Linked DNA regions of Arabidopsis thaliana. The protein of the gene in region 1 interacts with the protein of each later gene in a biochemical or structural test. Each region holds a gene or a part of one and is shown in the gene's direction. Other genes may lie near its edges. The genes, in order: TOPP4, PRSL1, PIN1 and INH3.

The links.
Region 2: the proteins of TOPP4 (region 1) and PRSL1 form a complex in vitro, tested with the Arabidopsis thaliana proteins (one study listed by BioGRID).
Region 3: of the proteins of TOPP4 (region 1) and PIN1, one has a biochemical effect on the other in vitro, tested with the Arabidopsis thaliana proteins (one study listed by BioGRID).
Region 4: the proteins of TOPP4 (region 1) and INH3 form a complex in vitro, tested with the Arabidopsis thaliana proteins (one study listed by BioGRID).

Annotation. Positions count from the first base shown.
Region 1 is NC_003071.7:16,623,152-16,631,295, forward strand, and holds TOPP4 (type one serine/threonine protein phosphatase 4), read left to right. Parts: upstream 1-4,064; 5' UTR 4,065-4,278; coding exon 4,279-4,495; intron 4,496-4,811; coding exon 4,812-5,371; intron 5,372-5,449; coding exon 5,450-5,638; 3' UTR 5,639-5,651; intron 5,652-5,846; 3' UTR 5,847-6,261; downstream 6,262-8,144. Other genes in the region: DAR2 (DA1-related protein 2), read right to left, coding at 156-337, 417-507; AT2G39850 (Subtilisin-like serine endopeptidase family protein), read left to right, coding at 7,475-7,558, 7,673-7,764, 7,868-7,959. UniProt on the Arabidopsis thaliana protein: Serine/threonine-protein phosphatase that possesses phosphatase activity toward para-nitrophenyl phosphate (pNPP) in vitro. Acts as a positive regulator in the gibberellin (GA) signaling pathway to regulate plant growth and development.
Region 2 is NC_003075.7:18,579,584-18,585,027, forward strand, and holds PRSL1 (GRAM domain family protein), read left to right. Parts: upstream 1-3,660; coding exon 3,661-3,874; intron 3,875-3,963; coding exon 3,964-4,065; intron 4,066-4,326; coding exon 4,327-4,496; intron 4,497-4,749; coding exon 4,750-4,941; downstream 4,942-5,444. Other genes in the region: AT4G40080 (ENTH/ANTH/VHS superfamily protein), read left to right, coding at 1-230, 305-959; AGP3 (arabinogalactan protein 3), read right to left, coding at 1,502-1,921.
Region 3 is NC_003070.9:27,656,314-27,665,817, forward strand, and holds PIN1 (Auxin efflux carrier family protein), read left to right. Parts: upstream 1-3,359; 5' UTR 3,360-3,458; coding exon 3,459-4,704; intron 4,705-4,856; coding exon 4,857-5,091; intron 5,092-5,279; coding exon 5,280-5,365; intron 5,366-6,015; coding exon 6,016-6,173; intron 6,174-6,269; coding exon 6,270-6,346; intron 6,347-6,496; coding exon 6,497-6,563; 3' UTR 6,564-6,940; downstream 6,941-9,504. UniProt on the Arabidopsis thaliana protein: Acts as a component of the auxin efflux carrier; this activity is enhanced when activated by D6PK-mediated phosphorylation.
Region 4 is NC_003071.7:13,347,014-13,353,978, forward strand, and holds INH3 (inhibitor-3), read left to right. Parts: upstream 1-3,355; 5' UTR 3,356-3,472; intron 3,473-3,872; 5' UTR 3,873-3,895; coding exon 3,896-4,219; 3' UTR 4,220-4,477; downstream 4,478-6,965. Other genes in the region: ARPC1B (actin-related protein C1B), read right to left, coding at 1-44, 214-299, 397-485, 616-697, 827-869, 957-1,030, 1,266-1,335, 1,594-1,663 and 4 more; LBD14 (LOB domain-containing protein 14), read left to right, coding at 5,972-6,250, 6,353-6,640. UniProt on the Arabidopsis thaliana protein: Inhibitor of protein-phosphatase 1 (PP1). Binds to and inhibits PP1 activity. Required for early embryogenesis progression.

The DNA of each region.
Region 1 (8,144 bases):
AGTAAAACAGTAGTGTATGTTCACATGTCTTCTGTATATTGCTTTTAATATGAAAAATCACATGTCTATAGTATTTGTGTGTAGATTAAAATAGAAATATTTTTTCAAAGAAAAGATGTTTCAAATTAAACGAGTATAATTAAGAAAATAATTACCAAAGAAGAAGGAGGTAGAGGAAAGACCATATTCTCGTCTTCTTGAAACTGAGGAGGATGATGATTAGTGTGAGCACCACTACCACCACCATTCGAGCCACTCTTGAAAAGTTTACTCACCCATTTCATCAACTTCCATTTCTTATCTCTATACGTTGACGAAGATGACGACCCAACTTCCCCTGTAATCATCAAAACGTTAGGTTTACGCTTTTAATATTTAGTCTCAAGAATAGAATTTGGTAAGAAAAGAAAACACACCGAAGATGCAAGGATTGGAGATATGGCTGACACGAGCAACACCGTAGGAAGAAGAAGGAGAAGAAGAAGAGGAAGAGGAAGAAGAATCCATGAGGATGGAAAAATGGCCCCCACGTGATTAAATATACTTGAAAACGTGTGAGTAAAGCGAAAACGACGGCCGGAGAGAGAAGCAAAGAAGAGAAGAGGAGGAGGAAGAAGAAGGAAGAGGGGAGAAGAAGAAGAAGTTATAAGTCATTACAATTTGTTATTAGAGAATGAAAACATAAATGAAAAGAGAAGAAAGAAAGAGAGAATCTTTGCAGAAGAGATCGGGCAAAAAAAAATTAAAAGAGAAAAAGAAAAGGAAGAGATGCTTAGCTTCTGAAAGGAAAGGAACAGAGAGAAAGAGATGTTTTTTTAAGAGAATATTTTTGTCTTTTTGGTTTTTGCTGAGGCGGAAGAATCCTTCAAGCAACGGTGTGGGGAGGAGGAAGATAGTTGAAACCTTTTAAGCTTCTCTCTTTTTACACTTTATTTTTTTTTTTTTTGTTGGGGAGAAAAACCAAAAAGTTAGATTTGTAAACGAAAGCAAAAAAAAATTCTTCTTTTTGGGTTTTGATGGAGACGCTCGTTCCATCGGCTCTAACTATTTGCCTTTAAACTTTGGTTTTGTTAAATTTTCCTTGTTTTTGTTTTTATGGTCTCATACCCTCACCGAGTTTTTAATGAATCTATAGCTACATTGAAGATATGTCATTTTATTTTTTAACTAAAACTTTAGTTTCAAAATTTGTATGATTCTTGTAATTGTTTTTGGGTTTCAAATATCCGACTCATGAATCCATGAGAAGTAGTATAACAATGTTTGCACTATACATAATATGGGCGTATTAACAAAGGTCATACTCTAATACACGATAAAGATGCGCTTTTGCAACGTTACCACAGACAACTTTATAATGGGAATTAAGCTTTTATGACATTACAAACGACGGACCAATAATAATATTGTTATTTATAATTTGAGGCATCAATCTATAGGAAGGTCGTGACCGGTGATGACGCAGCAAAGGTGAAAGAGAGGCTTCAAAGTGGAATCAGACACCCAATTTTTACAGAACAAAAGCCTAACCTATTGTCATGTTTAAGTTCTTTCTTTCGATTAAATTACCTTTTTTTTGGGATCAAATTAATATTTTGGGTTAAAGACAGCATCAGATCAAATCTAGCTTTTTTCAGCAACAGTTTCCACCTTGAGATCTGACCATTTCTTTATCAACTTGCTAAAGTCGATCTCTGTATGGACGATCCATAACTTATTTTCTATTAAGGCTGCTTGTTTTTGGGAATTCTCATTTAAAGAAAATGCTTATCTTTTCTTTTTTCTTGTCAAGTTATATATTTTATCTTAAGTATCTATACCCCCAAAGATGTTTACTTATTTTTCATCATGAAAATGTTAAAACATTTTAAGCATTTGCGTTAGTTTCCTATTACATCATTATATTCCTCAGTTAATCTTACAATTTTTTTTGTGAATGTAATTAATCTTACAATTTAAAATGTCTGAACAAATGTATTTGTTCTAGACTTCTAGTTCAACAAGTATTTATTTCTTGTTAAGAATGACTTTTTAAACGATCAATCTTTTTTTATTTTTGGTAACATAAAAACGATCAATCTTATTGAAACTTTCCTACACATGGATCAAGTTGTATTAGTCTGATACAATTATTGTAACAAAATAAAGTATATATATATAGCGAAGAATTTAGCTGAGTTTGAGTAGCCGATGCAAAAATGCTGCATATGTCTTTATTCCTTTAATCACCTAAAATACAAGAATTTACTTTCTCTTATCTCATGCATGAGACATCTTATCCAAGTTGTTATAAATCTCTAACTTTGTATCTGTAAAGATTTTTGTAGTAAAAAGCCTTGAGAGATGAGAAACGTGGAATTGAGTTGGAAAGAATGACTCAAAACCTTTACAATATTCACCCAAAAAAAAAGAGAACTTTATGATCGTAAAGAAAAGAAAGGAAAAGAAAAGAGACGACTATTTTCCATTGCATTGATGGGCTCTTTCAAGCCTCAACATACGGATCATTCCGACTTAATCCGGTCCATAAAATTTGCATTTGCATGTTTAAACGATATTGACTTTATGACTTTATCAACCAATGTAGGCCACCACTAGAGTACCGTACCTAGAGATGTTAATGATGGGTTAAAATCCACTGGTACCCAAAACACACATAAAATTTTAAGCTCATAGATCTATTTTTTCTGGAAATAAAACACAGGTTTAAAATGGGCTGGGTATCCAAATAAATAAAACACATATGGGTTTACCTCATTGGGTTATGGGTACCCACGATTTTTTTTAAAATCATTTTTCAAGTGAATCAACATTTTTTTGTCAAAAAAGATTTCACATTTTTTTCTCCTAAACCGCGATTTAACAGTTTACCACCAAAAAAAAAATCAACATTTTCCCGCCAAAAAAGACATTCAAAATTTTCCCGCCAAAAACGACAATCAACATTTTCCCGCCAAAACGCAATTCAACATTTTCGTGCCAAAAACGACATTCAACATTTTCCGCCAAAACGCAATTCATCATTTTCCCGCCAAAAACGCGATTCAACATTTTTCCGCCAAAAATGATTTCACATTTTCCCGCCAAAAACGCAATTTAACATTTTCCCGCCAAAAACGACATTCAACATTTTCCGCCAAAAAGATTTCACATTTTTCGGTCAAAAACACAATTTAACATTTTCCCGCCAAAAATGATATTCAACATTTTTCCGCCAAAAACGCAATTTAACATTTTTCCGCCAAAAACGACATTCAACATTTCCGGCCAAGAAAAGGATTTGACATTTTTCCCGCCAAAAACGCAATTTAACATTTTTCCGTCAAAAAACGCAATTTAACATTTTCCCGCCAAAAACGCAATTTAACATTTTTCCCATCAAATATATATGTAATACAAAAAATAAATATAATTTAAAATATATTTATAAGCAAAATATAGATACAACATACATATAATAGTATATTAACAATTAAACATAAATTATAAGAAAATAATAAAAATCAAGTTGGGTACCCACAGGTAGTCTCGGAACAATCAGGTTTTTTCGGGCTTTACCCACTAAATCAAAAATCCATCTGGGTTTTTTAAAGTTGGGTTTTTGGTGGACGGATTTATTTTGGATTCAGGTCGGGCTGGGCTTTTTTACCCACAACAACATCTCTAACCGTACCAATTCATTTTCTATGTAGAATTACATAACTATAGTTTTTCCTTACAAAAAGGATGAAAAAATTCTGGTAAATGATACATTTTGCATCCTTCGTGTTCTTATAAATATACTAAACACATCATTATTCACACAACTATAAGAAGAAAAAAATAGGTACGAAACATTGTTAATAATCCCAAATGATTGATTGAAGTTACCACATTTATTCTTTGAATTACTTGTTAGGTTGATTAGTACACAAAAGTAACACGAACCTACTAAACAACTTGTTAGATCTCATAAACGGCCCATTACCGATTAAGCTAAAGCCCGTTTTGGAATTTCACTAAACGACGTCGTCCTGTATCCCTCATCTTTTCTTCTTTAACTTGTCAGTTATTTTCTCAGTTTCTTTTATTTCAATTTTCAAAGGTGTTAATTTCGTCCCCATCTCCGTTTCTGATACTTTAATTAATACTCATTGAAAAAATCAATTCGAACTAAAAAAAATCTCGAAAGTCTTTGCGCGTAATTTTCTTCTTTATTTTGTTCTCACTGATTATTTTGCATTAGCTCTTTTCTTTTTTGGGGTCGAAAAAATTAGGTTTTTTTTTGGGATTCTGTTGATGGCGACGACGACGACGACGCAGGGGCAGCAAACGGCGATTGACTCGGCGGTTCTCGATGATATAATCAGGCGACTCACGGAGGTCCGGTTAGCTAGACCAGGAAAGCAAGTCCAGCTCTCTGAAGCTGAGATCAAACAGCTCTGTACTACAGCTAGAGATATTTTCCTTCAGCAACCCAATTTACTTGAGCTTGAGGCTCCCATCAAAATCTGTGGTATCTTCCCAATTTGATTCGTTGATTTTAATAATTTCGTCGGAATTGATTTTAGGGTTCTTATTGTGTTTCTTAGATTTTCCAAAAGTGTGAACTTGGTTAGGTTTTGGGGATAAAGTTGTTAGACCATTGTGAGACCTTTTTGTTTGATGTTGTGAAGTGACTAGAATCTGAGTGAGAAATGTTTTGGCTTTTTGTGGATAATGATTGAGTGGAGAGGCTTATCTTGTTGCTTATGATACTGTGTGTGTTCATGAAAAATCCTATCCCGTTCTGTGATTTCCTTATGGTTTGTGGTGTACATGTCTTAAACCAGGTGACATACATGGGCAATATAGTGATTTGTTGAGGCTATTTGAGTATGGTGGCTTCCCTCCTAGTGCCAATTATCTATTTCTTGGGGACTATGTGGACAGAGGCAAACAGAGTCTTGAAACAATATGTCTCTTACTAGCTTACAAGATCAAATACCCTGGCAACTTTTTTCTACTAAGGGGAAACCACGAATGTGCTTCTATCAATAGGATATATGGATTTTATGATGAGTGTAAAAGGAGGTTCAATGTGAGAGTATGGAAGGTTTTTACTGATTGTTTTAACTGCCTTCCTGTTGCGGCGCTTATAGATGACAAAATATTGTGTATGCACGGTGGACTTTCGCCGGATCTTGACCATTTGGATGAGATTAGAAACTTGCCGAGACCAACTATGATTCCGGATACCGGGCTTCTCTGTGATTTGCTCTGGTCTGATCCTGGGAAAGATGTTAAAGGATGGGGAATGAATGATAGAGGTGTTTCATACACCTTTGGTCCAGATAAAGTTTCCGAGTTTCTTACGAAACATGATTTAGATCTTGTGTGTCGTGCCCATCAGGTAGATATTTTTCAATCATGTCTCTTTGATACTACTGCTTTTGTGATGTTAACAAGGGAGTTGGATTTTTTATGGCAGGTCGTGGAGGATGGGTATGAGTTCTTTGCTGATAGACAACTTGTGACGGTGTTTTCAGCTCCTAACTACTGTGGTGAATTTGATAATGCTGGTGCGATGATGAGCGTGGACGAGAACCTTATGTGCTCGTTTCAGATTTTGAAGCCCGCTGAGAAGAAGACCAAGTTCATGATGTCCACAAAGATTTGATACTTTCATTGAGGTTAGTCAATAGTCTGTCCTTGGCGGAAACCAAAACGAAACTAGTGAATGAAAGGATTCTCTTGCACTGATTTGTTCATGTTATTCATTACAAAGTCAAGTTCACATTTCTGTTGAACATGATTTCTTTTGGATTCTTCCAGGCTAAACTTTTTACTTAAATGGGTCTTGATTTCGGCTTTTCCTTCTTTCACAGATGGATTTGGTCTTTCTTGAGAAATTGATTGAAACCATTGAAGATTTGGCTGTGAAGTGTGTACTTATGGTAGTGAGAACTCTTGGAAAGGAGCAAGACCTTCTTAGTCTTCTAATCTCTTTCTTCCCCCAAATTCACTTTCAGCATTTTTTTTCTATCTTCTTTTATGGGTTTTACATGATTTTCATCTGCCTGTTGGGATCACATAGTTGGTGTGTACATGCATATGGTCGTTTCTTGGATTTTAGGACACCAAATGAAAATGATGTTATAAAAAAGGTTTAGTATGATGAGTTTCGTCTCTTAAGCGGCATGTGAAAGTGAATGAGACATAAGTAACGCATATGAACATCTTCAATTAACCATCATAAATATCGAATGAGCATCTAAATTGGACAACAAGTTTCACACATGTTCATCATGTTTAAGTAAAAGAAGAATTTGAGAAGCTATTGAAAGTAAAGTCCACTGGTTTTGGTATGATCGTGAGTGAAGTGATATATGATCCGTTTGGTGGACTCGGGAAATAGAATAGAATATAATAATTGGAGGGACTGAAATTTTATGTTGTTCTTTGTTGTGGATGAGAAGTAAACACGGAAGCGATAAGTTCGTAAAAGTAACTTTTTTTTTGGGTTGCAAACGGGAACCAAAACCACATGTATCCAATTCTTTAGACACATATCATGTCATTATCCTATCTTTGAATATGTTCATATTCTTAGTCCATTTCCTCACCAGAAGATGTTGGACAAAACGTATCCTTTGATCATAGTATCCTCAAACATTTCCTACATAGTATTGTGACCATGTCATATTCTTCTAGACTTCCTAGTTCCTACATAGATTATGACCATTTCATACTATTCTCAAAACTCAAACAAACAAAAAAATCAATTTTGAAATATAATTATTTCTAATTTTCATATTTTTGTAAATTGAATACACAAGCGTTCGTCGTATACGACCATTGTTTTCAGCGTGTAAGTTTAGCAAAAAAAAAATCTTAAAACTTGTGGTTCATTTGGAAAAGTAAGAAAATATACACGAACGTAATAAACACAAACAAACAATTGAAACATGAATGTACAGGTTTAGTGTTATTATCTGACCACATTGTGCGCGAGTGTGGACCATGTGGACGTTATAAGTTTCATCAAACCAAGCATACATATATATGTGCGTCAACGTAGACCCTCAAGTTTTCTTGATTTTCACTCGAATCAATACCGTATACTCATGTTTTATCGTAACATAGAAAAAAAAAAAATCATGGACTTTCTCAAGAATCACCAAAAAAAGCATGCAGCTTCATAATCGAAGAATAAGATTCTTTAAATTGATTGATGAGCGTCTGCACTATGAAATGTTTCGATTTCAATCTTCTCCTCCAATTTTCTTCTTCATTAGTCCTTTTTCGCTCCCAATATCCTTCATGAAATTTCTCTATAAATAGAGACATAAAGCATTAACATGCAATGCAACAAAACTTAAGAATATTAGAGTCAAATAAATTTTAAAAGAAAGTTGACAGTAAAAAAAAGCCTTAAAGAAAAAGAATTAGAATTAGACCTTATAAAAAAAAAAAAAAAAGAATTAGAAAGATTGTTCTGGTGAGTGAGTGAGGGATGGCTATAGCTTTTCATACCTTTCTTCTTCAACTGCTACTCTTCTTCTTTGCTTCTTTTGCGGAAGCAAACGACTCGCGAAAGGTGAGAAAAAATGGACCTTTCTTCTTTAACTAATAGCGTAACGTTTTTTTGGAGATACATATAACGACGAATGTTTGAATTTTAACATATAACTTCTTGCTTTCTATGGTACAGACATACCTTGTGCAGATGAAAGTTGGTGGACATCGATATGGGTCAAGTTCCGGTCACCAGGAACTACTAGGCGAAGTTCTTGACGACGATAGGTTTGATTTTAATTATGCCTTATTCTTTAAGTCATATAGGTTTTGATGAGATATATTGGTTCAAATTTCCCAAGAAGCCAATCCTCTATGTTAACACATGCAGCACCTTAGCGGATGCATTTATCTACAGCTATAAGGAGAGCTTCACCGGTTTCTCGGCAAGTCTCACACCAAGAGAACGGCAAAAGCTGATGAGTAAGACCACAACTGTTTCGTCACGTTTGCATTTCCTTTTTTTTATACAATTGATCAGTACAATACTATAACACGCAATGACGTAAAAGCCAAAAAATGTAGAATTATAGCCTACTGCTATATAGATTGATATCAATGCATAGTAGGGACGTGGTAATAACACACGGGTTATGTTAATGTTGATA
Region 2 (5,444 bases), on another chromosome or scaffold:
GCTTCTTCAGCTGTCGAATCCATAATGGAACGTCTTCACACCACCGGAGATGCTTGCGTAGCTCTCAAGTCTTTGATCATTATCCATCACATCGTCAAACACGGTCGTTTCATCCTCCAAGATCAGCTCTCTGTATTTCCAGCTTCCGGTGGTCGGAATTATCTGAAACTTTCTGCTTTTAGAGATGAGAAATCTCCTTTGATGTGGGAGCTTTCTTCTTGGGTCCGATGGTAAGTTCACAAAAAAAAAAAAAAAAGTTTCGACTAAGTTTGGATTTTTATATGTTTTTTGATTATTATTGTAGGTACGCTTTATATCTTGAGCATCTATTATCAACTTCAAGAATCATGGGATTTTTCATATCTTCAACATCGAGTACAATTCACAAAGAGGAATACGAAGAAATGGTTTCTTCTCTTACCAACTCTGATCTGCTTCGTGAGATCGATGCTCTCGTTGGTCTACTAGAAGAAGCATGTAAAATTCCGGATCTACCCTTCTCCGGTGGGAAATCCCTCGCAGACAAAATCACTCAGTTGGTAGGAGAAGACTACGTGTCTTCGATCAACGAGCTTTACACGAGATTCAACGAGTTTAAAGAACGATCCAACACTTTGAGCTTTGGAGATACGATCGAGCTTGTCTGTGCTTTGAAGCGGCTCGAGAGTTGTAAAGAGAGGTTGTCTGAAATCTGCCATGGGAATTGGAAGAGAGGTTGGATTGATGGGTTCTGGGGTTTGGTTCTTGAGGTCAAGGGTATTATTGGTAATTTAGAGGATAATTATGGGCAGATTGAGAAATCGATTGTTGGGTTTGGGAAGAGGGATAAAGGATACGAATCGGCTCGGTTTACTGATCGGTTAATTATCGGTTATAGTAATCCTGTTCGGTTTTCTTCGGGTAGATTTTCGAATGTTGATCGGTTTAATTTTCCGGTTTCTGGTCGAGTGTTGTGTTGAGTGGACGACTTTTATATTCTTTTGATTTTTTTTTAAATAATTTTTTTTTTGGTCAGATGTCTTGTGAATTTTAAAAGACAATAATCAACATGTAGATGATTATTCCATTATATGTGTTGTTGATGTATTAAGTCATTTATCGATGAGAAAACTAACTGGATTTTGATTTAGTCTGTTTATCGTTACAAAGTTCGGTTTATTATACAGATTTAACTGTTATGTAAAATTTAACATTGTTATGTAAAATTTAACATTTAAAACCTTCAAGATGCAAAAATCTAGTAAATGCAACTATATTAAACAAGACTTTATTAATTAAAAAAATAATGAAGAAAATTACAATCAGAACTTCTTCCCTCAGGTTTAATCCCATGGTCCAATCAAAGTTATACAAATATCAAAAAGATCCCAAAAAGAAAACAACAACAAAGAGGACGAAATGTATTAGGGAAAAACAGAGAGATCTCTCAAACAAATCATGATAAGAAAAAACAAAGGAGAGTGAGAGAGAGAGAATGATAGAGTAATACGCAAGGCACTCTTTAAGCCAAAACGGCGTACAAGGCTCCGGCAATGACTGTGCTAACAAGGAAAGCTTTGTTAGTCAATGCTGAGTCAGCTACCGGCCCGTCTGCTCTAGGAGCGGGGGCCGGAGCTGGTGTTGGACCTGATGGGCCTGGAGCCAAAGCATATGGTTTAGGAGGAGAAGCGACAGGGGAAGTTGTGGGCGACGTGGTCGGGGGTGAGACGGTTGGTGGAGTTGTTGGAACCGGAGTGGGTTCGTTGGCTGGAATAGGGGGTGAAGCAACGGGAGCCGGTGGTTCTGCAGTTGGTGTAACAACTGGAGAAGGAGACTCTACCGGAGGGAGAAACGTGATAGGTGCCGGAGCCGGAGCTTGAGCTAGACATGAGGCGGCAAATAGACCAAGAAAGATCAGAGCTTGCAATGTCTTAAGAGCCATTTCTCTCAGTTTCAATGTCTTTCGTTGTGTTTGACGAGAGAGATAGAAACCTGAGAAAACTCTTGTCTTTTGTTGGTGGTGGATAAATGAAGGAAAATGTGTTCTTAATATATAGCTAAGAAGATGTATATTTTATTTTGATCTTTCAGACTCTTTAAACATGCAGGCACATAGAGATATACATGGCTTATTTATTTATTTGATTTGGAATATCAGAATTAATAGTCTTTACCAAGTATCTTGCATTGAAGTTTTCTTGAAGAAATCGTCTACAATGAGACTAAACCTAGTTCTAAACTTCTAATTGATAAAATTACAAAAGTATAATTTTAATGATACTAGACAAAGGTTAATAATGTCGTGTTAAAATTGGTAATTTGCAATAGTTGACCACTAGTACTAGTAGATAACCTCATTTTTTGGTTTACCGTATCTTGTAGCAGCAAATAAAAGAGTTTACATCAAATTAAGAAAATGACATTATATACCAAACCAAACAACTTACTTACCTCAAATATATAAATCACAATTTGAACCCAAACAACAACAAAAAAAAATGAAAAAGAGAAGAGTCAAGACCACGCGCCATACTTGGTTCCCACTAAGGTTAACGACGAGGCAGACAAGCAACTTATCTTAATCTGTGAATGATTATGACATTTATATTATTATGAATAAGTTTTCATATACTAATATTGGGTACTACAACAGAACCTTCATCCTTAACCAAAACCAAACCAAACCAAAATTTGAACCGAAATTCTAAAATCAAAACCAAAACCGATTCTAGAGAAGTCATCCTAGGTGGCTGCCCAAGCTCCGGTCTACCATATTTGAACAGAGGAACAATGTACTCCATAATCTGCAGTCCATCCCTCCTCTGCTCATCTTCAAGTCTATCGATCATAAGGTACGCAATACCATCTCCGTTTCGGCGTCATAGGAAGAGTTGGAGAAATCTAATGCTTCTCTAGATCCGTTAAATCACACTCTTAGCCATATTATATTATAATTTTTTTTTTTTTTTTTTTGCAGATTGCATTTTTTGTTACGTAATACCTTAACTCTTCATTTTAGTGATATTAACATTAATAGCAACAAAAAAGAGAAGTCATCCTAATTAAATACCATTGCTGTAATTATGAGTTTTGATTCCCACAAACAAAAAATGTAACGTTTTAAATTATATGTATGATTCAAATGGCCATTGTTGATATGTTTTAAATATGATCTGCTTTTCAAGTTTTTTTAATAAGATATTAAAAAATAACTTTACTTTCTAAGTTTTTAGAAAATTAGCCAATGATTTTAATTCTATAAGTCATCCTAAAAACATTCACAACCACCATTTTTTTTCTTTCACATTCAGAATCCAATAATAACATAACTTTTTTGTTTTAAAAAAGTTTTATAGCCCAAAATCTACATAATAAAATAAAATCAGAGATCTTTTTTTTAATTTTTGCTTTCTCTCGTCTTCTCCATTTACTATTTTTTCTCTTCAGCGTTTCTCGGAAAAAAATAAAATAAAATAAAAACTCTACCCCACATCCCAAATACAACGACAATAAAAAAACGATACGATACTTGCGCAATCGGAGAATGGAACAACTGACGAAAGACGACACTGAAATCGGAGGATCAGAATTTGAAGCCACCGCATAGTAGTGATATGAAACATGTGGATCAAGTGGCGGCAAAAGGAGCCGAGGATGCGAGTTCTGTGATTGCTTTATCTGATGAATCTACTACGCTACACGTCGAAATCGATTCAAAAGGCGATCGAGCACCGAATCGAACATCGTCCGGATCGAGAAAATCTCCATTGGAATCCCGAATTGGTTTCTGAATCTCCCGCACCGGATGAGAAGGCCTTATCCTCATCTTCTGCCGCGAGATCTAATCCGTACGTCGCTCGTGCTCCTACTGAAACTTCGGATGCCTCGTTGAAAGGTACTGTGTTTAAAACTGTGTCAGTATCTTTTTGGTTTATGCTATGAGATGTGTAAGTAACCGTTAAAATCTCTTTGAAATTGGATCAGAAACGATGGAATCTGTGAAAGGTGTGCTTGGGAGATGGGGAAGGAGGGTTGGAGAAGCTGCAATGAAGGCAGAGAGCCTTGCCGGGAACACGTGGCAACACCGTGAGTTTCCGATCTTGTATTGTTGCATCGTTAACCCTGAGAAAATATACTATGAGCTGAGATTGTTGATATTTGGGTGATTGTCATGCTACATGGTATATCACTTCTTGATGAGTTAGATATTATAGGTTTGAGCAATGGAGTTTCAAAGCGAATATTAACTTTTGTTTTTTCTGTTTATTCTGTGATTTGATGGGATTATTTATGGTAACTAACTATTAAATCTTGATATTCATCATAATTAGTGAAAACTGCTCCGAGCTTTGCGTGCTGCAATGGGAAGAATTGCACAAAGTACAAAGGTTCTGGCAGAAGGAGGATATGAGAAAATTTTCAGGCAAACCTTTGAAACTGTTCCAGAGGAGCAACTGCAAAATTCATTTGCGTGCTACTTATCAACATCAGCTGGTCCAGTCATGGGAGTTCTTTACGTATCCACTGCTAAACTTGCTTACTGTAGCGATACCTCTCTCGTACAAAAATTCTGGTCAAACTGAATGGAGCTATTATAAGGTAATCCTTTTTATTTTGAGACAATCGAAATTTTTGCTATAAATAACTATTGTAGAAAGCGACCTCATAGATAATAGGAATAAAGTGAAGAACGTTAGATTCTGTGAGTAATTTCTTGTGCAAACTATGATAACACTAGGTAGTAATACATATCTTCATCATCTTAAACAGGTAGTAATCCCATTACATCAGCTTAAATCGGTTAACCCTTCGATAAGCACAGTTAATCCTGCAGAAAAGTACATCCAGGTAATCTCGGTCGACGACCATGAGTTTTGGTTCATGGGTTTCTTAAACTACGAAGGCGCTGTTACATCTCTACAAGATACATTGCAAGCCGGTGCCTCAGTCTGTGTGATATAATACTGGTGGATTCTTGATCAGAATAGCATTATTTTGGTTGCAAACTAAATTATTTGATTCTTATTCTTAATTAGTTACCATGTCTTAATACACCGATAGCATTTCTTTTCTAAATTTTCTCCTAATCATATTATTGCTAATAAAAAATATAATTGGATTTTAGGATTTAATGCTGTTTTGAGATGATAGTGTATGGTTGTAAAACAAGATTTGGTTGTTACTCTTACAATCTCCATCGCACTAGGTGATTAGCAAACATAACTCTTCTTTCATTCCCTTTTAAATAGAATTTGCAAGAAGAAAAAGTGCAAACATAGATAGATATCATAGAAAGAGAGAGACAGTAGGAGAGATAGAGTGAAAAATAGGGTTTAGGGTGAGGGATAAGGTTATAGGGATTTAGAGATTTAGGGGTTTAGGTTTAAAGGTTAAGGGTTAAGGGTTAAGGGTTAAGGGTTAGGGGTTAAGGGTTAGGGGTTAAGGGTTAAGGGTTTAGGGTTAAG
Region 3 (9,504 bases), on another chromosome or scaffold:
ACCCTCATCCATCATTAACTTCTTTTACGCATGCCCCTCCTGTTTCTCGCTCTGTTCTTTCTTCTACTCCTTTATTGTTTTCTTCACGTTTATAACTATTTGTTGATTATTTCACTTCAACATCGTATTAAAAATAAGTTAAAGACAAATTAAATAGAGTAAACCCATTCATAAAAACAACATAATCATTAAGGCTGAGTCGGATGATATGTGAATAGCCTATTTTTCCGGATATCCTCCAAATCAAGTTTTATGTCGTCGATTTGTGTGTGTGTGTCCATCATCTGTTGTATTTGTTCAAAAGGGCTTAAAACATTTCGTACCAAACATGAATCTTCATTAGTCATCATCCGTTCATTAGTGGGATTATTTGTTTTGATTACAATTACAAGGCATGCTTTAGCGAAGCGTGTTTAAGCACAAACGCATGGACCTTCAACATGCATTATTTTCGGGTTGCGTGAAAAGCTATGCTTACATTGTACTAACTTTTAATTAAATTAATCATTAAGTTGATTTCTTTTAATTTCATGCAGTTGTATACGGTACTTATGAGTTCTGATTGATAACCAAACTATGAAGTTTTCTTTTCTGATTCATAATTTATCCATTTGAGTTTTTTATTCAACCGTCTATTTCTAATTGATTCTACAACAATTAGTCACCCAATGACTATGAGACTCATAATAGTTTGAATAATTAAACTATACAATTGTGGCAAATGGCTATGCATAAAAACAACATCTTTTGTAATTTTTAAGGCGTGAGGAAGATGTATAAAGTGAATAACCTACTTTTCAAATACAACGGCTAGCTGGACATCTCGCTATATATTGTTATTCAAGTCTTATTTAGGTTTTGAAAAATAATCAAGTACAATAATTTTCTTTCTCATGAATGTTAAACCGAATAGAGAAGCCAAGCAAAGATATAAAAAATACAATGGGAGGCTTCCACCGTAGACAGTCCAATGATCATCTACATTTCGACCATTAACCAGTAACGACTAACGAGAATCAATATCAAATATTTTCTTAAACTCGGCAACCATTAATCTTCTGTTGATAAACTTTAAAAAAATTCATTATAGTAATCTTTTTATTTATCTTTTAGCCAATAAAAAGATTAGTCAAATTTGTAAATTATTCCATTGGCGTTGTCGCCAAAGTTTCATTTCAAAACCACATAGTTAGTTTATACTTCTTATTAAAAAAGAATTATGAGTTCGAGCGATTTTGTTAACTAGTGATATTTCGGTCTATATAAATTTTGAAGAAAACCCAAAAGAAAGCATAATTTGATGCAAAACATGTATCCACTTATCATTCCCATTGATTAACGTATTTATTGAGATTAGTTTGTCGACTTTTAGTATCAGCCATAAGACTCACTTTATGTATATTAAAGCAGGTCAATATAGATCATAAAGTGTTAATTAGTCAAAATTTGCTTTATTAAACCAAACTATCTTACTCTCTTTTCCATTTTTCCCGTTTCAAGTGTTTGCTAAAAGATCAATTTTAATTTTCTCGTTTCAAGTATTTGCTAAAAGGTCATCCATCACCCATAACCATAAGTCAAGCCGTGCAAACATAGAGTATTAGAAAAAACGTTAATTTGAGTTCAATATTACACAAAGTCGCAGTTGTAACAAGGATTTGCACAACAAAAGATTGAAAGATTAATGGATTAGTGACAAATAATTTGAAAGATCCAAAATATCATTAACTATATGGAATGTGAAAAAATCCTGCAATTTTTTTTTTTTTTTTGCCGTGTTAAAAATTCAATTCTTTCAAAGAACCAATTTTAAAATTATTTGTCAGTAAAAAAAAATAGAAACTACTTGATTTATAATTTTTAATAGAAAAATGATGTTAAGTCATCAACTCTTTTATTTTTTCGTAACTTCTCAACATATTTACTTTATTCGGATTGCATAACCTACTTTTTTTGTGTGTATAGTCTCTTTAAGCGCAAGAAATGGCAAGGAAAGTCGAATTATATTAGTACTATATATTATTATTATGCTTAAAAAAAAGTTGAAAACATTGGAAAAATAAAAAGCTGGAAAGAAAAAAAAAAGAAGAACTGTGTTTGTATGGGATGATGAGAAAAATGAAGAGCAGACTGTTGATGGAATATTGTGTTTCCTCAAATATCAACACTCCTCATTATATCATCAACCCATTGCTTTTTGTACGGACTTTATTAGTAGTATTAAAGAACACATCAGACTGATTTGTGTAAGCAAACCAGAACCACCCTCTTTTCAACATTTTTCTTTCAAAAAACTTCTACGTATTTATGTTCAATAAAACTTTGTTACTAATTTTCTCAACGAAATATATTTTATAAAACTTTGTTAGTAATGTTATACAGTAAACAGTAAAAGAAAATAAGTTCCAAGATGAGCGATCAAAGGATTGAATAGTTCATAAATAATTCGTATGCGCAACTACAACTGTAAATGATAACCTATGCAATGATAACTCACACACACCCATCTCACATGAAAAAGTGATTTCGACCTTATGTTAGTGATATCACATCTTTTCTTTTATCTCCACCCACAAAGTCTTTGGTTAGGAACTAGTTTGTTCAATTGCAACCATTTTTCCAAAGACTTTCAACCTCTCTTCGGAGAAGACTTCTATCTTTAAAACCAAAATTTTCTAAGTTCATATAAACATCAAATCGAGCCTTATATCATCACTTCAATGTGTATTTATCTTCTGTTGTGATTTATCAATTGAAAGTCAATACCAAAAATCCCATCATACTAATCACAATAATTTATAGCAAAAATAAATTTAACAATTTTTAAACATGGTAAAAATATAAATTTAATAATTAGTATAGGGGATAAATTGATCAACCGAATAGATTAATTCATAATTTGAAAAGGCCAAAAAAAAAAGAGAGAGGCAAAAACAGAGGCTCTGCTTTGGACTCCGCAAAGCGCACAAGGCCGCCTCTTTCACTATCCCCAAAGCTCCACCACGCACCCATCAACCACCATTTTTATTTCGTTTTTATTACATTCAAAAAAACTTCTTTTTGTCGTATTTCAATCAAAATTACATCACACACACTATTATGTTGGAATGTTTAACAAAACAAATAAATATGTTGAGCTATTCCAATTTTACATTTAATGTTTTTTTACTCCTACACGTAAACTACTTTTGAATATAATATCTAGAAACTAACCAAATAATCGAAAACGAAAATAATAAAATCAGCAAACAGTTTTAGCTTCATTAACAAAATATATATATGTTTAATTAAAAAATATGGTATTTTCTCAACGGACAAAAAAATAAAATAAAAAGAATATAAAAATGTGGTCTCTTCTCAACACTCACTTTACTCTTTTTTCCCTCTTCACCACTTCTCTCTCAAACTAAAGACAAAAGCTCTTCTCTCTTCCCTCTCTCTTCTCCGGCGAACAAAAGATGATTACGGCGGCGGACTTCTACCACGTTATGACGGCTATGGTTCCGTTATACGTAGCTATGATCCTCGCTTACGGCTCTGTCAAATGGTGGAAAATCTTCACACCAGACCAATGCTCCGGCATAAACCGTTTCGTCGCTCTCTTCGCCGTTCCTCTCCTCTCTTTCCACTTCATCGCCGCTAACAACCCTTACGCCATGAACCTCCGTTTCCTCGCCGCAGATTCTCTCCAGAAAGTCATTGTCCTCTCTCTCCTCTTCCTCTGGTGCAAACTCAGCCGCAACGGTTCTTTAGATTGGACCATAACTCTCTTCTCTCTCTCGACACTCCCCAACACTCTAGTCATGGGGATACCTCTTCTCAAAGGCATGTATGGTAATTTCTCCGGCGACCTCATGGTTCAAATCGTTGTTCTTCAGTGTATCATTTGGTACACACTCATGCTCTTTCTCTTTGAGTACCGTGGAGCTAAGCTTTTGATCTCCGAGCAGTTTCCAGACACAGCAGGATCTATTGTTTCGATTCATGTTGATTCCGACATTATGTCTTTAGATGGAAGACAACCTTTGGAAACTGAAGCTGAGATTAAAGAAGATGGGAAGCTTCATGTTACTGTTCGTCGTTCTAATGCTTCAAGGTCTGATATTTACTCGAGAAGGTCTCAAGGCTTATCTGCGACACCTAGACCTTCGAATCTAACCAACGCTGAGATATATTCGCTTCAGAGTTCAAGAAACCCAACGCCACGTGGCTCTAGTTTTAATCATACTGATTTTTACTCGATGATGGCTTCTGGTGGTGGTCGGAACTCTAACTTTGGTCCTGGAGAAGCTGTGTTTGGTTCTAAAGGTCCTACTCCGAGACCTTCCAACTACGAAGAAGACGGTGGTCCTGCTAAACCGACGGCTGCTGGAACTGCTGCTGGAGCTGGGAGGTTTCATTATCAATCTGGAGGAAGTGGTGGCGGTGGAGGAGCGCATTATCCGGCGCCGAACCCAGGGATGTTTTCGCCCAACACTGGCGGTGGTGGAGGCACGGCGGCGAAAGGAAACGCTCCGGTGGTTGGTGGGAAAAGACAAGACGGAAACGGAAGAGATCTTCACATGTTTGTGTGGAGCTCAAGTGCTTCGCCGGTCTCAGATGTGTTCGGCGGTGGAGGAGGAAACCACCACGCCGATTACTCCACCGCTACGAACGATCATCAAAAGGACGTTAAGATCTCTGTACCTCAGGGGAATAGTAACGGTATAGTCCCTCTATAACTTTGTTGTTTTGTTTTCGCACCCTAATTTATTTTCTTTACAAAAACACCCCCAAAATTTCTCTATGTCCTTCGATATTTATGATTTGGTTAAGGGGTTCTTTAATTGTTTACATGTGTTGTTGCCTTACTTTAGACAACCAGTACGTGGAGAGGGAAGAGTTTAGTTTCGGTAACAAAGACGATGATAGCAAAGTATTGGCAACGGACGGTGGGAACAACATAAGCAACAAAACGACGCAGGCTAAGGTGATGCCACCAACAAGTGTGATGACAAGACTCATTCTCATTATGGTTTGGAGGAAACTTATTCGTAATCCCAACTCTTACTCCAGTTTATTCGGCATCACCTGGTCCCTCATTTCCTTCAAGTACTGTTTCAAACTTGTCTTATTTTCACTTTACTTTGGTTTTGGTCTACTATTTTAACCACTTTCTTGATGCATAAAGGGTCAGCCTTGAATGCGTATATGTTTGAAAGTTTTTTCTGATAGATTGAAGTAACAAAAGATTTGAGAAAGATCTCTTTATTGGAATTAAATTGATGTGGTCTGTGCAGGTGGAACATTGAAATGCCAGCTCTTATAGCAAAGTCTATCTCCATACTCTCAGATGCAGGTCTAGGCATGGCTATGTTCAGTCTTGGTCAGTTCCTTTTTCTCTTTTCTTTTATTTTTACCTCTTTTCATTTATTACATAATTAAATACCATAAAACAGTCAATTGTTCTCTTTATTTCTGACCTTCATTCTTTATGGTGTTTTTTAAATTTTAAATGATTTTAAGAAAAAAAACAAATCATGTGGAAGCATGATTCTCTCTGTTTTCTTTTTCTTTGAAGTTTTTTTGAAACATGTTTGTATCAAAAAAGCAAACAAAACTGGCTTCACAGCAGAAAGCATGCTCCACAGTTCTCTGCTTATCATCATAACATGTCTCTCCCTTGAATAGGAGGAACCATTTTTTATTTTCTCTTAAAGCAACAAACAATTTTTTTATACCTAATATTGACCCCCTTATCGATGAAAAAACTTTCTTTTTTACCTTGTTTATGTTTCAGTAGACTTCCATCAACTGATTATAAAATTTGTGCTTAATCATGACTTTATGGAATGAATAGTTTAGGATAACGATAATGATGATGTTAATGTTGTGGTGGTGGATCAGTGGCTGTGATGATTATTTTTATGTCACTCTTTTGCAGCTAAAAACAGTGTATAAACTTAAATTAACCAAAAAGCAAAACAATAATAAATTATTTGTTTAAATTTGTGGCTTTTTTTGGATGTGTTAAAGGGTTGTTCATGGCGTTAAACCCAAGAATAATAGCTTGTGGAAACAGAAGAGCAGCTTTTGCGGCGGCTATGAGATTTGTCGTTGGACCTGCCGTCATGCTCGTTGCTTCTTATGCCGTTGGCCTCCGTGGCGTCCTCCTCCATGTTGCCATTATCCAGGTAGTTTTTATTTGCATGATCAAATATGAAACACTTCTGTTGTGTCTACTGTCGTTTATACGATTTCTAACCATTATTTTTATTGACAACAAACAGGCAGCTTTGCCGCAAGGAATAGTACCGTTTGTGTTTGCCAAAGAGTATAATGTGCATCCTGACATTCTTAGCACTGCGTAAGTTTATTAATCTATTAAATAGTTTTGTTGTTATAACAATAAATTTTGTTGTAGAAAAAAAGTTAGGTTGGTTTTGCCTACATTAATTATGATTAGGTGTATATATAAATATATTTTTGTTAACGTGAGTTCTGATTTTTGTTGCAGGGTGATATTTGGGATGTTGATCGCGTTGCCCATAACTCTTCTCTACTACATTCTCTTGGGTCTATGAAGAGATATTACCAAAACACAGGGACTTTGTTTTATTCTTTTGTGGGATGATGAATTGTGAAAAGAACAATGCCCTTTTTGTTGAAAACCCACAAATTAAATCAGAAGCAGCTTTAGAGAATCTTTGAGGATAATTGAAGCTCTTGAAGAAGAGAAGAAGAAGGAGACTTAAGTAGGAGCTCAGCAAGTTTTACCTTTTTCTTAATTTTAATGAACATTCGTGTTTCCTCTTTTGGTAGGTTTTAGGAATTTGTAAAAGCTTTGGCTACTTTTAGTGAATTAAAAACGTTAAGGAAAATATCAAATTTTGTGTGCATGCTAAAAGTGAATTGGTGTGTATAGGTCTAAATCTCACCAAAATAAGAAGTGTTTTAGCCATTTCAAAAGTTAAGTTCACTTAACATTTCTATGTTTCGTTTGCCTAAATGTGAAAAATCAGAAACTAAAACAGTAAAGTACATCTTCCACAAAATGTTTGAGAAAGGGATTTCTACGGGGGATTTGGGAAAATTTAAAACGTAGTCATGAATATTAGAAACTTTACAATAGCTTAGGTGGGAAGGTATGAAATAGCATGTGACTATAACAACACAGACGACACGAGTATTGGATTCAACAGAACACTCGATTAAATATGTAGAAGATAGGGGACTTGGTGCATGCGTTACGTTATTCGACTTGGTCAAGATTCCTCTTCACTGCGTTTGTGGAATCTTGAAAGATTCGTTTAGTGTTGTCAATTGTGTATCCTTTTACCGATTCTTCTCAGAATCATTACATACCACTTAGATGCTGATGCTTTTTATGAATAAAAACAAACCTTCATATTTATACGACGATCTTATATAATGATAAATCAAATGTATAATACTTAACTTGGTTTGAATTGTACTCTCGACATGAAAATCATTTAATTGCTAAAAATATTGGCTTGATTTAAATATGTGGAATGATGAATTTTTATTTATTTTAGTTACCAAATGAATTTATTAGAAAGTGAAATGACTGTATACAAAACAAAAATAAAAATAAAATTGATAGTAATAAATATATGAAGGCGTAATAATTAGAATGAGGAAAATAGTTAAAGAAAGCGACCCTAAATTTATGGCACGCCTCACCCTCACGTAAAAAAAAACCATCATTTTATTCTGCATGAGACGGCTGTAGCCGCCGTTGCATTCTTCAAATTTTCAATGTTTCCAATTAATAAAACTATTATTATAGCTCGATTTGTAAATATTTAAGCCTGCAATTCACATTGTTCAAATTCATAAAATAAAAAAAAACAAAAGTAATGGGTGAGGAATAAAAAGAAGAATGAGACAAGAGAGAAGAAGAAGACGCCGTGTCACTTCGCTTTCCTACTACAACACCAACATTTCTCAGAAGCTTCTAATTCTGTGTTCATTCTCTGCTCTCAATCAATGGTCTTCACCATTTATTGAAAAATATACGTGAAAATCTAATATTTCAGAAATTTGATAAACCATGCATATGATATAACTATCATTTAGTCTAAAGCCTTTAATTTTGGACCCATGAGATTTTGATATTACATGAGATATTTGAAAGGATCGAGGTTTTCTCATAAAGAAGTTTTTTTTTTGTCGGACTCATAAAGAAGTTAATCTCGTCACGGAAAAGATTTCGTATTTACTTAAGATTTTTAGTGAAATTTTAAAAAAAAATTAAATGCAAAGGATGACGTAAAAAAGTATAAGGGTATAAACGTAATTTCGTAAGGTCATAGTTGCAGATGTTAGTGTCTCTGCCTGCCACTAGACGGTGTTGGGTCGGCCGTCGCCCAGACAGAGTATTGAGAGCTTTTTGTCATTTGTCTTTTTCATTTTATTTTTGGGTATTATTTATTTATTTTACTATTGATTCTGTTTTTTTTTTTTCAAAATGTGATTGTATTTTGCTTTTGTTACATTTTTTTTCGCCCGAAGAGATTGTGAGAAAAAAAGAAGATTTTCCTTTTCTTTTGTACGGGTAATTAGATACGATATGACGACCAATAAAAACATAATTGCTTTGCTTTTTTTTGCGATATACAATACTATACAATATATTGGAAAAACTAATTTATAGTATCATTATTTACGGCTTTATCTTCACCTAATTATTTAATAAGATATTGGAAGTCGACACATGATTTGTCATTACACTGCTCCATCGATTATTTTTTTCATTTCTAAAAATACGGCCAATATTTTCCTCTGTCGTGACCAAATAGGTCAACAACAAATTTGAATATTAAACTGAAAAGACGTATACATAATGAAAAAAAAGTAACGTTTTTTTCATCGAAGATAAAAGGATTCAACCATTAAAAATATATATTTTAAGATTTGAAGACCGGCTTTACACGTATACATTATCACCACAATCCCATAAACTATTTTTATATCATATGTTTGAGTGACGGTAATTCCTTTTGTCGCGTTTAAAACATTGGTCGTTTGTTGCACGTGAAAACATACTCCGACTTACTAAAACCCTAAGGATTTACTAAAATAGAGTTATCTTATCTGTCTTCTAAAACTATAGTGAATTAGAATCTTTTTATAAACTAACAAATAAATACAAATGCGGCTTTGAATTCGAGGAACAATCCTTGCTCCCATGTGCACGCCTACACACATACACTACACATTCCTATATCCTAACGTAACAACAAACTAGTTTATGTGCAGGGTCGACTCTGAATAATTTTGGGCCAAAGACTTTTAAATGAAGCTTTAGAAAATTTGGGCTAAAAAAATAAAAAATAATTAATTTTGGACCATTTTGGCTAGTATAATTTCAGAATGTTTTTTGAGGCCACAGCAATTGTTTCACTGGGCTGTGATCAGGGCGGCCCTATTTATGTGATGCTGTTGCTGTTACCTTCGTCGTTATTTGTAACTAATATAAGCTTTTTAAAAAATGTTTGAATC
Region 4 (6,965 bases), 3.3 Mb from region 1:
CTGAAGATGCCGCTTTCTTCTCTCCAATGTATCTTATGAAGCTCCTACAGACCAAATACAAAAACTTGTAAACGAAGCAATTATTGGTAGTGGTTCGTTTCAGAACCAACAATCCGGCCTGTGATCTAAGAGGAATAAAAGAACTGAAAATTTGATAGTATGCAAACCCCTAAGAAAGAGAATTTTAAGCAGATATTTCTGAGAGTTACACACCATATTCCAGTATCATCTGCAGCAAATACCATCGGGTTGCTGTCATATCCAACCCCTATCACCATTTTCTCAGAAATAAACAGGACCTGAAATAGCAATTTCCCCATAATATATCAATTCAGGACATAACACACCGGAGAAACCAGGTTCTCAAAAGTAAAATAAAGGTGGATGCTGACCCACATCACGAAGAGGCAAATCTCGGAATGCAACGCTTTGGGCTAAAGGAGAAGGGCCAACATCATCAACAAAGTAAATCATGGAGCTATGACCTATACATGATTACATAAACACGCAAAGTATGACAGATGGTAGTAAAAACTGCAACCAAGTTGAAGTTCCATTGTATTATTTCAGTAGAGCGCAATGGAAAAACATCCCAAGTCTGAAGGATTTTCTGACCTACATATGCTAAGGTGTTTCCACTTGGAGACCATTTAACACCAAATGCCCAAGAATATGAGAGATCAAGCTGAAGAATTTGCTGTTTCAACAAAGCCACAGTAGAAAAAAAAACTCCCTAACATTAGATGAGAGAGTAGACGGAACATATATATGGCACAAGAATTATAATATTTACTAAAAGAAGGAAAGCCAGCCAAACTAGTCGAACCTCCCCAAATTTCGTTTCCGCTGGTGAGCCTGCTTTTGAATCCCTGTATCAGCCCATTGAAAGAAAAATAAGAAATGGCCTCATGTTTGAAAAAATGTCTTAAAAGTAGACGTTCAAGTAATGAGCATACTTTGTGTCAACTCCTTTGATGAATGTTGAAAATACCCGACATTTTCCATCTGTTGATGTCGTTGCCAGAAGAACCTAATGCATAACAGACAATCAGAGAGCACAGCAACATAAAAAAGCATACGAGAAAAAATGATTTAGAAGATTAACTAGTTTGTGGAGATTGATATTCTATTTTTAGGGATCATGTACTCTATACTCAATCTGGTGGCCAACTTATAGAATATTTTTGGTAGAGAAAGCTTTTACAGAGAGCCTGCTTAATATTTTGGCTACATGAACTACAAGAGGTTCTGTTGATTGCACGTACATTATTAGGATGCCAAGCAACAGATGTGACTGAAGATTCGTGCCTTTTCCGGATTAGCTTACTGACCCACCTGCAAACAGTAAAGCCAAGCAATGTCAGATACTAAAAGTTTACATGAAAGTATCTTTCTAAAATCTCTAAACAATACACAGTTATGCATGCCAAGATAATAAAAAATATGATTGGTGCTAATATCATGCCAGTACATAAGACAAGATAATATCATTACATAGACCAACAACACCATTCGTAGCAAAGAAGTCAGGAAACTTGCCAAAGAAAAAATCAAGGACTAATAATGAGAATTAGGAGCAGAAGAAGAAAATACCAGTTATTCTCTTGCTCATAATAGCAAATACAAACAGTTTTAGCACCACTTCCAACAGCAAACTTGTTCTCTATGGGTATTGAGCAAAAAGATGAGAACATAGATTAGAAGCTGTAGAAATTATAGGAAAATTACATGATATATTACGGAAATTAAGCTTAAGAACCAGAAAAATTAAACATTTACCTTTGGGGCTCCATTGGACACAAAGTGCAGCACGATTTAGTCTAAGAATAACGAGAGTTGGTACCCATTCAGCTCCTTCCAGGCTCCAGACGTACCTTCAAGAAGCATTCTAAACTCAGTTCAACGAACGAAAAAAAGTGAAGGACTAAGATTAACAGGTTTGGAGTTTCTCAAAGTATATCAAAGGTAGCAACTTACGAGTTCCTGTCATGAGAAACAGTGACGATTTTGTTGGACTTTGAGCTCCAATCTATTCCAGAAACAATTTGGTCATGCTGCAACAAGACGAACAATAATCATGAAGTTGTTGTAAGGGAGATTCAAGCTGTCTATACAACACTTATCAGCGACAAGTGATCAGTGAAATGAGAATACATAAATATACGAAAGTAAGGAATTCCCAAGAAGAGAAAGCAAAAGGAGTGCAAGTTCAAAAGTTACAGAAAGAGAGGGAGAGAGAAAGGTTTCACCTTTTGGAGGACATGTAACCTCTCCCAGTGGTCTTGAGACAATGATTTATAGATATGAACTTCAGTGTTGTTAGGACAGAGAGCAACCACTACCAAGAAAAACGAAACAAATGTCAAAGCACATAAATGGTTACAGGCTTTAGTACAGACGTTAAATCATTTGTAACAATAGATTTGGTTCATCTGTTTAGAAAAGCGCATCTACTAATGTACAATACTAGATACCAAGTGCTCCTAACAAGAGACACCGACAAACAGACATATAAAACATTGACTCGAAAATTCTCAATTATAGGGATTTAGAAGAAACTTGATTACCAAGATGTATAAGAATAACACAAGTCAATTCAGAAAAACTAACTAAAGATCCTCCTCATTTATAATTCTAAAAACAGAAAAACGACGGAAGAGAGAAAGAAGAGAATCACAAAATCAGAGAGGTGTTAGAAACATACTGGAGAGATCAGGACTCCAAGCATGGCAAGTGATTGACTCAGCGAAACGATGAACATCCACCACTGCCATGAGTGATCCTTGTTGTCCCAAATGTGTTGTAATGAAGACAGTCTTTTCTCTCAAATTGACATCTACAGATTTCTAAAACGGAGTCGTACGGTGAATAGATGGACAGATAATTATGATGAAACGCCGATGAGATCCGGAGCTTGACGACGACACAGTCGCAAACGTGAAGTGAAAGTGTAAGTGAAAGAGACGGATGTTTTTGTTTGTGTGTTTTATTTTACTCTTATAGCCCAATTTTTTATGACCAGATCATTTTCTATTTTCCTTGGCCCTGTCTTAGGGGCGGCCCAGCATAATAATAAGCAAAAAAAAAAATAAGATCTAAATTCTGCATTAGTTAAATACTTAAATATACATAATTGGATTTAATCAAATCCATCCATGTAAAAATCTGAACTAAACCTCACTATGAGTATGAGTAACTTATAAAGTCATTCTATATATTCAGTTTTCGAATCCCAAATAAGTTAACATTATAGTTTTCTCAAAATTAATTACACTGTATTAGTCTTTTTTCTAATATATATATTAACATTTCTTAGAAAATAAATATAAAATTAGACCGAATTTTTTTTTTTTTTTTTTTTTTGGTTGGAGCGACTAAATTTCTCCATCGGCGAAAGAAAAAAAAAACAAAACGAAAAAAAAAAAAAGTTTCTCGATTCAACAAGCGTCCCTTCCTCCTTGGGGATTCACAGGTTTGCTTCTTCGTCGATTTGATTCTTTGAATCTTTTTTTCCCCTAGGTTTAGGTTTCGCTATTGTTTCTACGATCGAAACTAGGTCTCTCTATTGTTTACTGCAACATTTGATTCTCAATTTCATATCACCGATTTGTGTTTATCCCCTGGAATTAGGAATGATTAGGGTTCAGATCTCGTAGGCAATGAATTTAGGGTTAGAGAAATAGCATCTGTTTGGTTTGTTTACCTAAAGAATGAACCCTAAAGGCTTTGTTCTGTTTTACGATTTTGTTTAAGGTCTTAGTTTTTATCTTTAGCTCTTGTCATTCTTAAGCATGTTGTTAGTTGTTACTATTAAGAACTTTTATTCTCTGTTCTTGTATTTTGGTACCTTATGAAATTAGTCTTTTATGCAGATTTTGAAAGCTAATCTTCAGCTATGAGCACAGCAACAAGGCCTTCCTCTTCAGCAACAACTTCTGTCATATTAGAAAACCCTGTTTCTCAATCACAACCTACTGAAAGATTAGTGCTTCGGTTGAACCGGAAGAAGAAGAAAGTTTCATGGAAAGATGGGACTGTAGACAATGAGTTTATGCAGAAGAAGAGTTCGAAGAAGTGTTGCATCTTTCATAAACAGAAGCCTTTTGATGAGGATGACAGTGAAGAAGAAGATGATAACAACCATCACTGTGATCATAACCATGAACACTCCGAATCTGGTGAGGCATCTTCTTCTAATGATTCTAAAGCCGTTGACTAATCAATCAGGTTTTTTCACGTTACTATATATTGAAGCTTTTTAATAGATCATGGAAGAACACACATTTGTTGTTTTGGTCTCTTCTCCTATCTAACCCTGGTTGGGCGTTATGTATATGTACAAGTAATTTGCAGATTCATTGCAATGTTAACTCCTTCATACTCTGTTGAAAATGATGTGAATCATTGAAGATTGCTAATTAGTTAAAGAATTACAAGGATGTTATATTTTCTTTCTACATTTGAATATGCTTTTGCTTTTGCTTTTGCGACTGCATACTATTTCTCAAAATGCAATGTTCGGGTTTCATCAATTAAAAGATGAGCACTATATTATTTTCCCAGTAGAATAGGATTTGCAAAGGGTAAGTATAATGTTTGGGTTTCATTGGCCGATGTTGGGATCAATGCAGCTTCTGGATCAGATGGGTTGTGATTAGGATCGATAAAAAAATATGACCGATATGGCAGAACGATGTAGCTACTGGTCGGATGGTTTGGTTGGCTAGATCGGTGGCTCTATGACCATGATGGTTGATCGATGCGGGTTATTTAGTTGGCTCCAGGGATATTGGATCTGCATTTGACTGATGGGCACGGCCAATGTGGCTTATGAGGGTTGTTTGAGGAGTCCTAGATCAGTCATTGGTGAGACCGATCCCATGGCCGTACTGGTTCTGTTATTTCTTTGTTCCCCGGTCCTTCTTTGACCAAAACTCCGTCTTTTCCGCAAACTCTAGGCACAAGTTAGGATATCTAAAGACACCCGAAATCCTTAACATAGATAAGAAAACAAAAATAAAGCTTCAAACTCAAATTTTTCTTACTATTTTTAATCTCCACTAAACCAACATTAAGTCATAAATCCACTATCAGTTGTTCATTATTATCGAATAATTTAACTTTTGTACTTGATCAATTATTTTGGAATATTTTTGATGTTAATCATGATTCATGATTAATATGTGGGCTGGATAATCATGGGTCTCTCTATTTTTCTAGTCTGTAAAGTTTGATCGAAACTGAGAGCATTTTAAAATATTTAAATCGAGATATAGAAATAACTTGTCTCATATACTACTAATATCAAATGCCTTTGTTCTTATTCTACACACATCTCAATCACTTATGTGGTGTATATGTTGAGCATTGTTAAATCTTAAACTATTGTTTTCCAAATTAAGCAATAATGACAACAATCTTAACATAATTTCACAAGTACATGTAAATTTTCAACTAAACAAACACTAAAAGTAAACTCTAATTTATTTTTCTAAATAAAATAAGAGAGTAAATTAGTTATGAATTAAAAAAAAGCTAAAACCACAACAAAAAGCAACTTGGGTTTGGTTCATGTTTACTCATTGTTTTGTCCTATACGTCAACCAAATCTCTCATTTGATCGGATCTTAATATTAATATGGTTCTCTCAATATTTTCTTAAGAATATTCTCCACCTTAAGAGTTTAATCTCAATAATATATTACAACGAGTTATTGAATATTAGAGAGATGTTTTACAATATAAACTTGAGGGAAAATATAAAAGCTGCAATCTTGTAATTGTAAGCCATTAGAGAGACAAATATGTAAAATAACAAGTTGAGTTATCATAAATCCCACCTTAGTCCTTTACCATAAACACTCGTGCACTATATAATCGTCACTAGAAGAGTATAAGTAATGAAGTATTAATATTCCTACAAGATAGTAATAGTTGGTTAATATCAATAGATTATAATTACGTTTTGAGAATGGGAGGTTTAGGCTCACCATGTGGAGGATGCAAGTTCTTGCGTAGGAAATGTGTAGAGGGTTGTGTATTTGCACCATACTTTTGCTACGAAGAAGGATCTTCTAATTTTGCAGCCATTCACAAAGTGTTTGGAGCTAGCAACTTCTCTAAGCTCATTTCTCATCTCCCTGATCATGACCGATGTGACGCCGTACGAACCATCTCTTACGAGGCTCACTCTCGTCTCCATGATCCTATTTACGGCTGCGTCTCCCAAATCTTCTCCCTCCAACAACAGGTATTATACTTTTTCTTCGGAAATGTATACATAATTTTTTTTTGCTTTTGCTTCATCATCTCTAGTGTACTTACAAGTAACTTCACTGACTTTGTTCTTAAGGTTGTTAGTTTACAAGCACAAGTGGTTCTACTTAGAGAAGAAGCTTCGAGAAGGTTCCCTCAAGATGATCCTGGTTGTAATATGAAGCAACAAGAAAAGGTTCTTGCTCAACAAATGCCACAAGATCTTCACAATTGGTTTCACCAAGGAATCTTGGACTCAGACTTCGACCCAATGAGTGGTACTACACGCGACAATGAGCGGTCCATGGATCATAATGAGTCTCCTTGTAGCTCAAATGAATCACTTAATTACTACCAGGAGGTCAATTTTCCTTGGTCTGTTTGAGTACAAGTGACTACTTTGTCAGAGATGGAACCTTACAATCTTTCTATTGTATCGACTTTTCGACATTTTTCATAGTAGAGATCGAATCATGCAACCATTTTCTCTTTGAGAATAACCACTTCTTCGATGATCTTTCATAGGTACAACATCAGATCTGAACAAGTGTCAAGTCTTAAGAAGTGTCATTACTGAGAAAAAGCATAACAAAATGTAGTGTACGCTGTTTTAAAACCAGAAACATCTACAACGCCAGAGAGTTAAATCTGTGACTACATGTTGGATTCGATTTATCAAAAGACATTTAGTTACAAAAGTTAAGTCTTCG